Caenorhabditis elegans: one gene and its partner. The protein of the gene in region 1 interacts with the protein of each later gene in a pairwise test. Each region holds a gene or a part of one and is shown in the gene's direction. Other genes may lie near its edges. The genes, in order: gkow-1 and T11B7.1.

What was found.
Region 2: the proteins of gkow-1 (region 1) and T11B7.1 interact in a two-hybrid assay, tested with the Caenorhabditis elegans proteins (2 studies listed by BioGRID).

Annotation. Positions count from the first base shown.
Region 1 is NC_003282.8:10,356,079-10,360,974, forward strand, and holds gkow-1 (G-patch domain and KOW motifs-containing protein homolog 1), read left to right. Parts: upstream 1-2,063; 5' UTR 2,064-2,067; coding exon 2,068-2,185; intron 2,186-2,236; coding exon 2,237-2,330; intron 2,331-2,477; coding exon 2,478-3,121; intron 3,122-3,419; coding exon 3,420-3,731; intron 3,732-3,841; coding exon 3,842-4,062; 3' UTR 4,063-4,141; downstream 4,142-4,896. Other genes in the region: R11A8.1 (DH domain-containing protein), read right to left, coding at 1-654, 699-791, 834-951, 1,002-1,084; ugt-59 (glucuronosyltransferase), read left to right, coding at 4,722-4,896.
Region 2 is NC_003282.8:8,839,120-8,843,606, forward strand, and holds T11B7.1 (Centrosomal protein of 162 kDa), read left to right. Parts: upstream 1-1,597; 5' UTR 1,598-1,605; coding exon 1,606-1,672; intron 1,673-1,954; coding exon 1,955-2,162; intron 2,163-2,211; coding exon 2,212-2,634; intron 2,635-2,752; coding exon 2,753-3,073; intron 3,074-3,134; coding exon 3,135-3,453; 3' UTR 3,454-3,686; downstream 3,687-4,487. Other genes in the region: T28C6.7 (Kinesin motor domain-containing protein), read left to right, coding at 1-313, 476-806, 1,021-1,053; T28C6.11 (uncharacterized protein), read right to left, coding at 544-764, 1,019-1,142.

The DNA of each region.
Region 1 (4,896 bases):
TTCAACATTCTCAACTTCATCAAGCAGTTCACTTTTCTCCTGATTATCCGATTGATCCATATCTTCGAAAATCGTGTCTTCCACATTTTCCTGCTTGCTAAAGGTCTGATGCTTGTTCGCTGCTTGAAAATCTTTGGCTGTTTCCGTGAAGGTACATGTGCTCTCAATAATCTCATCTTCCTGATAGCCGTCTCCGTACGAGGTTTCAACAACTTCTTCATGACCCACTTGCTCCAGAAAACTGAAATCATCATAAAAATTGTCACCGCTATCCCAAGCTGTATAATCCTGGGGAAATTTTTCTTCGGAATGGAAGGAATTAGCTGTAGGAAGGTAATTGTTTTCAACATGATCGTAATTTGGAAGATGACTGTTAGAACATCCTGGAAGACAATCATCAAACTCATTTCCTCGTTCAGAAATGGTTTCTTCGTAGCAAGCGTTGCTATTTTCGATGATCTCCTCAACATCGGAATTGTTTTCATTTGATTCGTCCTGATATTTGGTTCCAAATAAAATTTCTAAATCTTTTGAATCTTGAAAGTAATGAATGGGCCCTGACGAGTCGAGTGACATTTGTAGTACCCTGTCACGTGATCTGTCGATATTCCGGAGTTTCGCCTCGACCTCTTTTGGAGCAGGTGAAAATCGTCTCTGAAAATAATTTTTGTTTAAAGATGACTGAAATGTTTTATTGCCTTGATATTCCTTGCTGGAGTTACTTTGGTAGAAGCTGCATCACTTTTTCTGGATTTCGCTTTTTTTACAGAATACGTTCTTTCGGGAGAATACTGAAAAGATTAGCGCCGAAGAATTTTATCAAAAAAAAATACCGTAAATCTGAGAGGCGTTCTTTTTTTCTTTGGTGCAGAAGATGTGTATGTGATGGTTTTTCCATTGTAACTGTCCCTATCATAAAACGTCGTCACACCAGACTGCCGGGTTGATTGCCTAAAATTGAAAGCATTCGCATATTAAACGCGACTTTTTTTTAAACTTACGAAGAGGGCACTTGGGAAGCATTTATTATCTGAAGATTTTCTTTTTTGGGGTAGACATTGAAACCTTTCTTCTCAGAATTCATGGTTTTACCTGAAAATTAAAAATTAAATCACGAAATATTTAAAAATTGAGAGAATTTATAGAGAATCAGAGGGAAAAAGAATATATGTGTATTTTCAATAAAACAAAATTGAGTTTATTGAATGAGAGAAGATGTGAGAAGATGAGAAACACCAGGCTTGATTCCTAAAACAATTTCCCTCCAATTGCTGCAAGTGGTCTTAGCACGATCTGCATGAACTACCGTATCCGGCAGTACGGTATACAATTTTATTTTCTTTTCATTTCGTTGTTTTTTTTCTCGATTTTCGAAAATTTTCTGATGTATTTGTTAATAATCTTATGTTTATTCAAAAAATTTTATTCAAAGAAAAATAGAGAACATTTTTAAAGCGTTATTAAATTTCTTAATGATGGCACTCCGGCTCGTCCTTGTTGTCATGACTCTCTTTGTATATTTGTTTCACATGACTTTTATAATTTTTTTGAGTATTTAACATTTTCCAATTCATTCTTCCATAAATTCTATTCCATTTGTCTTCCAAGATTGCAATATTTCTGTTCTTCTGTTCAATTATCTCGTTTAATGGGGATGAAATTTGAAAATTTTAAAAATTCTTGTCTTCACTGGCAGATATCTGATATATAATTACTTTTAAAATGATGTTGAGTATTCATTGCGTATTATGGCAGCTCACTGATGTTTAAAATGTCTGAAAACTCAAAATTGTTTTTAAATCAGAATCCGAATAACTATTTTATTACAATTCCCCATTTTTGTTTCCATATTAATATTAATAATAATCTTCTCCGATTTTGATTTTTACAATTGCTGTGAAGCTGGCTGCAACTGTGCCCTAATAGCCAGAAATTTTCGAAATACTCTGCGTCTCTTGCATTCAATCAGTCAACTCTATCCTCTCTCGTACACTTTTTTAGAAAATCTTTTTACTTTTTTGTTTTTTAATTTTTCAAGTTTTGAAAACATCAAATTTCTATAAGGAGATGGTGGAACAAACTACATCGGAGCCTGCAGCAGGATCTATGCCCAAAATTTCATTTGGCGTGAAAAAGCGAGAAGAGAACAAAGTTCAGGCGCCTGCTAAAGCTGTTGTAATTGAAGGTAATGTATTTCTTTTGTAATTCAAAAATTATTAAAATTAAAATTTTTCAGTCGATTTGGACAGTGATGAAGAACGAGAAAAAAATGAGATGGAAAGAGCGGCCAAGAGAAGAAAAGTTATGCATTTTGAGGATGGAACCGTTCAGTGAGTAATATCATGAAAGTTCCAGAAATTAATCGTAAATTATTGTGAACCAATTTAAATTCAACAAAAAATTTGGTGTACAGTTTCGATTAAATTTTTTTAAATTTAAATATCAAATTTTTTGAAAACGTCTCATTTATTTTTTAGAGGCGATATTGACAAACCAAAAGAAGCTGCCGTCATTCCAATGGTAGTAGAACATGATTGGAGGACTCAGAAACTCATTGAAAAGGAGAAAGCTGGTACATTAACAGAAGAAGAACGTGCCAAGTTGGCACTTGTTCTACCCAACGGAATTGATGGAGAAAATGAAGAAGAAAGCGGAAAAGGGGAGAAAATTGTTGTAGAAGACGGACGCGGTGATACAGAAGATGCCGATTATTCTGCAATTCCCATCGAAAGCTTCGGACTTGCAATTTTAAGAGGTTGCAACTGGAAAGATGGTGATGGAATTGGTAAAAACCCGCAGAAAGTCGCATTGAAACTTCCGAATCGACGACCGCCTGGACTCGGACTTGGTGCCACACCCAAAAATCCAGTAGGAAAAAATAAAAATACAGGAGAATCGTCGAAAGCAGAAGAAGAAAAATTAGAAGAAATTAAAGTTGGAAGCTTCATAAAAGTAGTTGACGGGCGAAATAAAGGTGTTTATGGAAAAGTCGAAGGAAGAGATGATGACTCAAATTCATTGTTTATAAGAACTGCAATCGGAGGAAAAACGATGAAAGTCAGTCAAATAGTTGCTGTTGCAGTTAGTGCGAAGGAATATGAACGAGATTCGAAATGTTTAAGTGAGTTTTCATATTTCTAGCAGCCTGAAAATAAGCAAGTTGTATCAAGTTTTGAAATTGATTTTAAAAAGGTTATTTGAACCGTTGAGTCTCCCTTTCAAAATGATTTTTTTTGCTTTAACATCATTTGTAAATGGTACAATAAATCTCTGAAAACCCTTTGAATTACATAAATTAGATCCTAGGATTTTTGTAAGAATTTTGAGCTGTTTAAATTCAATTCCTGAGTTCTAACAGTTTGTTGATAACAATCATCTCATTGATGCAATTATTTTAATATTAAGCAAGTTTTATTCAGATAAAAGCGAATACGACAAAGAAAAAGATCGGCTTGAAACAGAACGGAAGAAGCTTGAATCTCAACCACCATCAACGTCCACGTCTCAATCTTCAAAGGACTACAAATCGAAGTCTTCGTCTTCCAAACATGACAAGAATTCCTCTGAATACGAAAGAAATGATAAAATGTGGGCTCGAACGGATCTTCTTGTTAGATTCATTGATGAAGACTTCAAGCGAGGATCATTATACGAACAAAAAGTTCGGATAGTTGATGTTGCTGGAGATAATGACGTAACGATTGAAGATGATCGAGGGAACACTCATTACAGTGAGTTTTACTCCTTTTAGTGGGAAATGTTGAAAATTTTAATAGACTTGACAGTAATTCATAGTTTTTGTTACCAAATTTCAAAAATCCGTGATTATAAATCATTTCAGATATCCGACAATCCTGGTTGGAAACTGTAATTCCTCGAGAAATCGGTGAAAAGCTCATGATTGTCGCTGGTAAACGAAGCGGCCAACTAGCTGTGATGCTTGATAAAGATAAACGGAAAGAAAAAGTGACAGCACGTCTTGTGGCGACAAACGATGTGGTTACCGCGTACTTTGAAGATGTTTGTTCAGTTAAGATTCGACACGAAGAAGATTACGAGTGAATAAATGTGTACATTCCCCGATGACTTTTTTTGAAAAAATACTAATTCATTATACTTCAATGAATTTTTGAAACTTGATAGTGAACTCTTGCAATAACCAGTGACAATTTAATCCAGTTACGGATCATTTGCAAATGTTACGATTTTTTCGATCAAAAAATATGTATGAGAGGTACAGTAGTCTTCACACCTTTCAGCATTGCAATATTATTCGATTTCTTTCGAAGTATATGCAAAGCAGCAAGGTGTAGAGACTACTGTACTTCTCAAAGGCGCACATCCTGTTTCATCGTCGCGTCTATACTGTATTTTCGTCAAAAAATCCAAATTTCACATCTAGAAGATACGCCATTTATCCATTCCATTAGAACCTCTGGAACATCTGACATAAAAAACCATGCTGTTTTTAGTTGTAACATGTTTCAAAAACAGGTTGGAACATAACAACTATACCAATAAAACACACTACTAGGTCAAATAAAGAAAACTATACTTTTCATCCTTTCACTCCAATTTCTTCAACTAATTATCTATATTGAATTGAAAAGTGTGACTTCCTACCGATTCTCGGTCATTCTCATTTCTCTCGTTCATCTCGGGTAATTATATCCGAGTCTATTCTTCATATCCGGTCATTCACTTCCCCTCAACTCTATGAAATGACTCAATTCTTATTCAAAATTTTGTTGGTTTGCACAATAATCAATGAATTTTATACACTGAACATATTATTTTATGTTCCCACATTATCCCATAGTCATATCTCATTCAATACAAAATTGGCTCAACTTCTTGCCACTTCTGGTCATCAGGTTACGGTACTTCTTGCTCAAG
Region 2 (4,487 bases), 1.5 Mb from region 1:
AACTTCAAAATCTTGTCTCTAATCTACGGCAACAGCTTATCGAGGCATCCGAATCGGCTGATCTGAAGTCTCTGGAAGAGTTGGAACAGTTAAAAGAAGAACTTCGCATTGTTTCGGAGCAGAATGGATTGCTTAAGGATTCGGAAGCTCGATTATTGGATCACGCTGACGAGTTCGCCGTTCAAATGGACAAGTATCGTGAGAAATGCGAAGTTCTGACAGCAAAAATTGCAGAACTGGAAGCACAACTTCAGAATCCTGCTGAAGAAGATCAACAGCAGAAGACATCAAACGTCGAGCTAGTCAAGCTGAGGTGAGTTAAATCTTTTTAACGTTTAAATGAATTGGTGTATAGAACGAAATTTTATTTTAAACTAAAGTATTTGATAGCATGTTCCGGACATGTGAAAATCGAAAAAATAAAGTAACACACAATCAGAAAATTAAATATAGATTTATATTAATATTATTTCAGACAACAACTTGCAAATGCTCAACAGGATATGCGAGTTCAAAATCTGACGATTTCTGATCGTGAAGGTCTTATCGCGGAGTATCGTCATCAAATTGCCGAGCAGACCAAGACAATTGAAGAACTTCACTTGAAACTAAAAACCTTCTCAGCGGCGGCTCGTCGAACTTCTCCACGAGTGCCAATGTCATCGAATGTACCAGCTCTCTCATCCCGCCCATCATCCAGAATGTCAACGTCGTCACGAATCTCAACCGCGTCTTCGTTTGTGCCAGAATCCGTGGCAGTACCACTACAATCAACTGGATCAGCGTTTGATGTCGTCGTACGACAGGTATAAATTTAGCTTTTCATATGATTTCCAGATGCCCAAAACCTAATTGATCACGTTTTCAAACTTAAATTCTTCTGAAAATGTTATCTATGTTACCTTCAAACATTTTTTATGGCGACATCTAAAATAGTGGTATTTCGAAAAAAAATCTCATTGTACATTCGGCCGATATCGGATGCGATACACAAAACCAAGTAATCAATATTACTTACAGAGTGGCGAGCCTCTTCGACGTCGTAACAAATAGATGAGATGACCCCTGTACGTTGCCCGTGGAGAGTGTGGTTCACTGTTTCTTCCAACACTACAAATCTCCAACATACCATTCATTTGCATTCGGTGTTTTCTCCCTCCCTCTTCTCGTTTTTAATCTTTTTTACTTTTATTCTAGGTCTGTCAGTTCTGTAGGATCCCTAATTAAGTAACTTTTCCTCAAGTATTTTTTAATGTATATTCGTAGATCTGCTAAACCTAAATTGAATCGATAATTTTTGGAAACCTTCTTTTCGAGTCGATAATATACATGAGCGTTCTGTTTTATAGTTTTCATCCAGATGACTTGCCCATACGTCATCGTCAAGAGATGACTGATTAATTTATTATTTTTTACATCCAAAGTGCCTTGATATCGGTAGCTAATCGAGTTTTTTGAAGGGTTTTCATTTGTTTTCTTGTTTATAATGCACGAATTGTATGGAAATGATTGTAGTTATGATATTATAAGATATGAATACGGTTTCATTTAACTTCTTTTTTTTAAATCTGTTTTAGTGCAAGGATTTTGGATTTTCAGAGAGTAATGTCAGGAATCAAACCAAGTGTTTCAAAAGGAGAAAGTCAAGCACCGCAAACAAGACAATTGGAAGGTAAACATTTTTGAAATCACAGTGTTTCATAACAGGAATGATATTATTTCTGACGTTTTTTTTTGTATAATTAATCGAAGCTGTCACATCGCCTCGCGCACGCGTGTATGATAGGTTCCATTCGCAATTTGTTCCTGGAAAATTACGGAGAATGAAAGAAAAAGTGTGACGTCATGCGGGTTTTTCTACTTGCGTTTTATGTATCCCGTCTGAAAATCTGAAACATCGATAGTCACGCAGTCCTCTGAATACTTTTCCTCGTGAATGTATATTAAATTTCAGCGTCTAAGCCTACAGTTCAAGGAATAATTGATATTCTTCATGATACCATAAGCTATGTCCAAGTTGAGAAACAAAGTAAAACTATTAATTTTTCCATTCCTCATTTGCAAATGATTAAAGAACAGCTTGAAAGTATTCAATTAAAAGATAAAAACTACAAGGATTTGGAAAAAAAGTTCAATGAAAAACAGGATGAACATTTGGAAACGTAAGTATACTGTTTTTTCGTAATTTTTGTAAGATTAAACTTGTTTCAGAATCCAGAAGTTAGATTCAACACTCAGCCGTCAGAAGCTTAAGTATGATGATATGAGACAGGCACTTTCTGTAAAAATCTATACACTCGAGAATGAATGTTCCAATTTGCAAGACAACTATGCTGACTTGCAAAATGATTTTGAAGTTCAAATTGAAAAATTCAAAAAACTTCAAAACTTGAAAAGTATTCAAAATCACGAGAATTCAAAAAATGTGAATCCTCTAACATTGGATGAGCTCACCGAACAGTTGAAACAATTCAAAGAAGAACTAAGTATTGATCAGAAACTGAAAAATATTCAGTTAACTTGTGAAGGACTACAGTCAGCTGTTGGAAATTTTGAAATGAATTCGAAAAAAGCTAAGGAAATTGAAATTCTTAAAATGGATATAAAGAAGACACAAGAGCTCTATGAATCAAGGTAACTATGTTTATCTGTATAGTCGACCGAAAACATAACATGCACTGCCATCGAGATATAGTAATCTGTTTGGCAGTGTAAGAACAAACATTTTATGTTTCGTAATTACTTTTTCCAGACTGCTCAGGGCTGCTCAAGAAAACAAGAAACTGCTCAGAAAAAACGATACATTGAAAAACTATCTTGATAATCAAACAGCGAAAATTGGAGAGCTCACAGCTGGAAACAAAACAGAGAATCGTTCACCAACTCCAACATTGCAGGGACTTATTGAAATTCTTCAAAAGTTTTCAGACGATCAAAAACTTGAACCAGAATGTAAGATGCTGCAGTTGCATAAAGAGGAGTGTCGTTTGATTTTGGAAAGTCTTGAAGTGCACGATAAGAAAGATCAAGAGATTCAGTGGTTCCAAAGACAAATTAACGATCAGAAAAAAAGGTAAGTTTTGACGAAACATTTATATTTTGTTGATCTTAAAAACACATAAAAATTATTACAGAATCGCTAATCTTGGTTGGTCATACGAAAATGCTCTTGAAGATAAGGATGCTCTAGAATTAAAGCTTGAACATCAATACGAGCAGATGATGGAATTGAAAAAGAATTTCATTCCGAAAAACGAAATTTCTGAGGATTTGGCGAAGACTGTCAGAAATTTTGGAAAACGTCTCAGAAATTCTCGAGGAAATTTGAAGAATGCGTTCAAAGAATTAGAAGCTTTAAAAGAAGTTCAAGAGGAAGAAGGCTCATCAGATGAAAGTTCTGAAAGCAGCGCTTCTGATGATTTACCAGATGGTGACAGCTCGTCAGAGGAATAGCATCGAATCAGAAAATTGAGATTTCATTGAAATTAAATGTACCTTCTTACAATGACTAATATTTTAAAAAATTTTAACTATTCACAAATCAACGATTTTCTTGTTATTCGCTCTACGATATATCATGATTTCCCATTTATCCGACTTTCTCTTTGTTTTCAAATTTTCTTGATTATTCTGATTAACTTTACACTGTTCCAACTGTTCTTGTTTCTGAAATAAAATCTTCCAATAAGTCCTTCCAAGAACCAAAGACAAACTTATGTATAAAAAATGTCACAATTATAACAGCTGCGGACGAGCCCGAACAGGTTGAAAGTCTTTCTCAACCTGTGGACAAATGACGGTCCAACAGCCGGTAATGGACCTAAGACGGCCTTCAGTTTGCCCGCTATAAAACCGTACGTATTAGCCAGCGGTGGGCCACTTTTCACTGTTGCCGCTTCAAATTTGTCATGGCTTGGAATGGATAGAAGATTGTTGAGACGATGGGTATATCAGATTTCTTATTCTGTTCGTAAAGTCTGGATCATTTTGAGATTATTCTGCGTCTAATGATACAATTATCTTATTTATGTTCCTCGAGGGTGTCATTTTTCCATGCTATCGATTTTTTAGACAATCATAAATGTTGTTAGGTTGACCGAAGGCGCTGGAAGATGATGAACATGCCCTAAATTTTTGACTTTTGACAAGCCAAAGTTTACATTTCTGTTCATTAGATCTTTGAAAGCAATTTGATTTTTGTAACATCGGATAGCTTGATTGTGAGTCACATAGGATCTCTCCGGTCTATTGACTTTGTGACATTTACATTAAAAATATTTTAAAATAGGAAGGATGCTAATATGGATTTGTAGTGTAAAACAATGGTTTATGTAAAATAATTATTATATTTGAAGTACATATGTAGATAAAAACATTGATTTAAAAAATAAAAGATAAAATAACTGTATTTTATATTATAAAAAAGTTGCTCTGTTGTAAAAGTTAAGATGTAATATTATGGGAACAGCAATCAACAAGTATGGTTT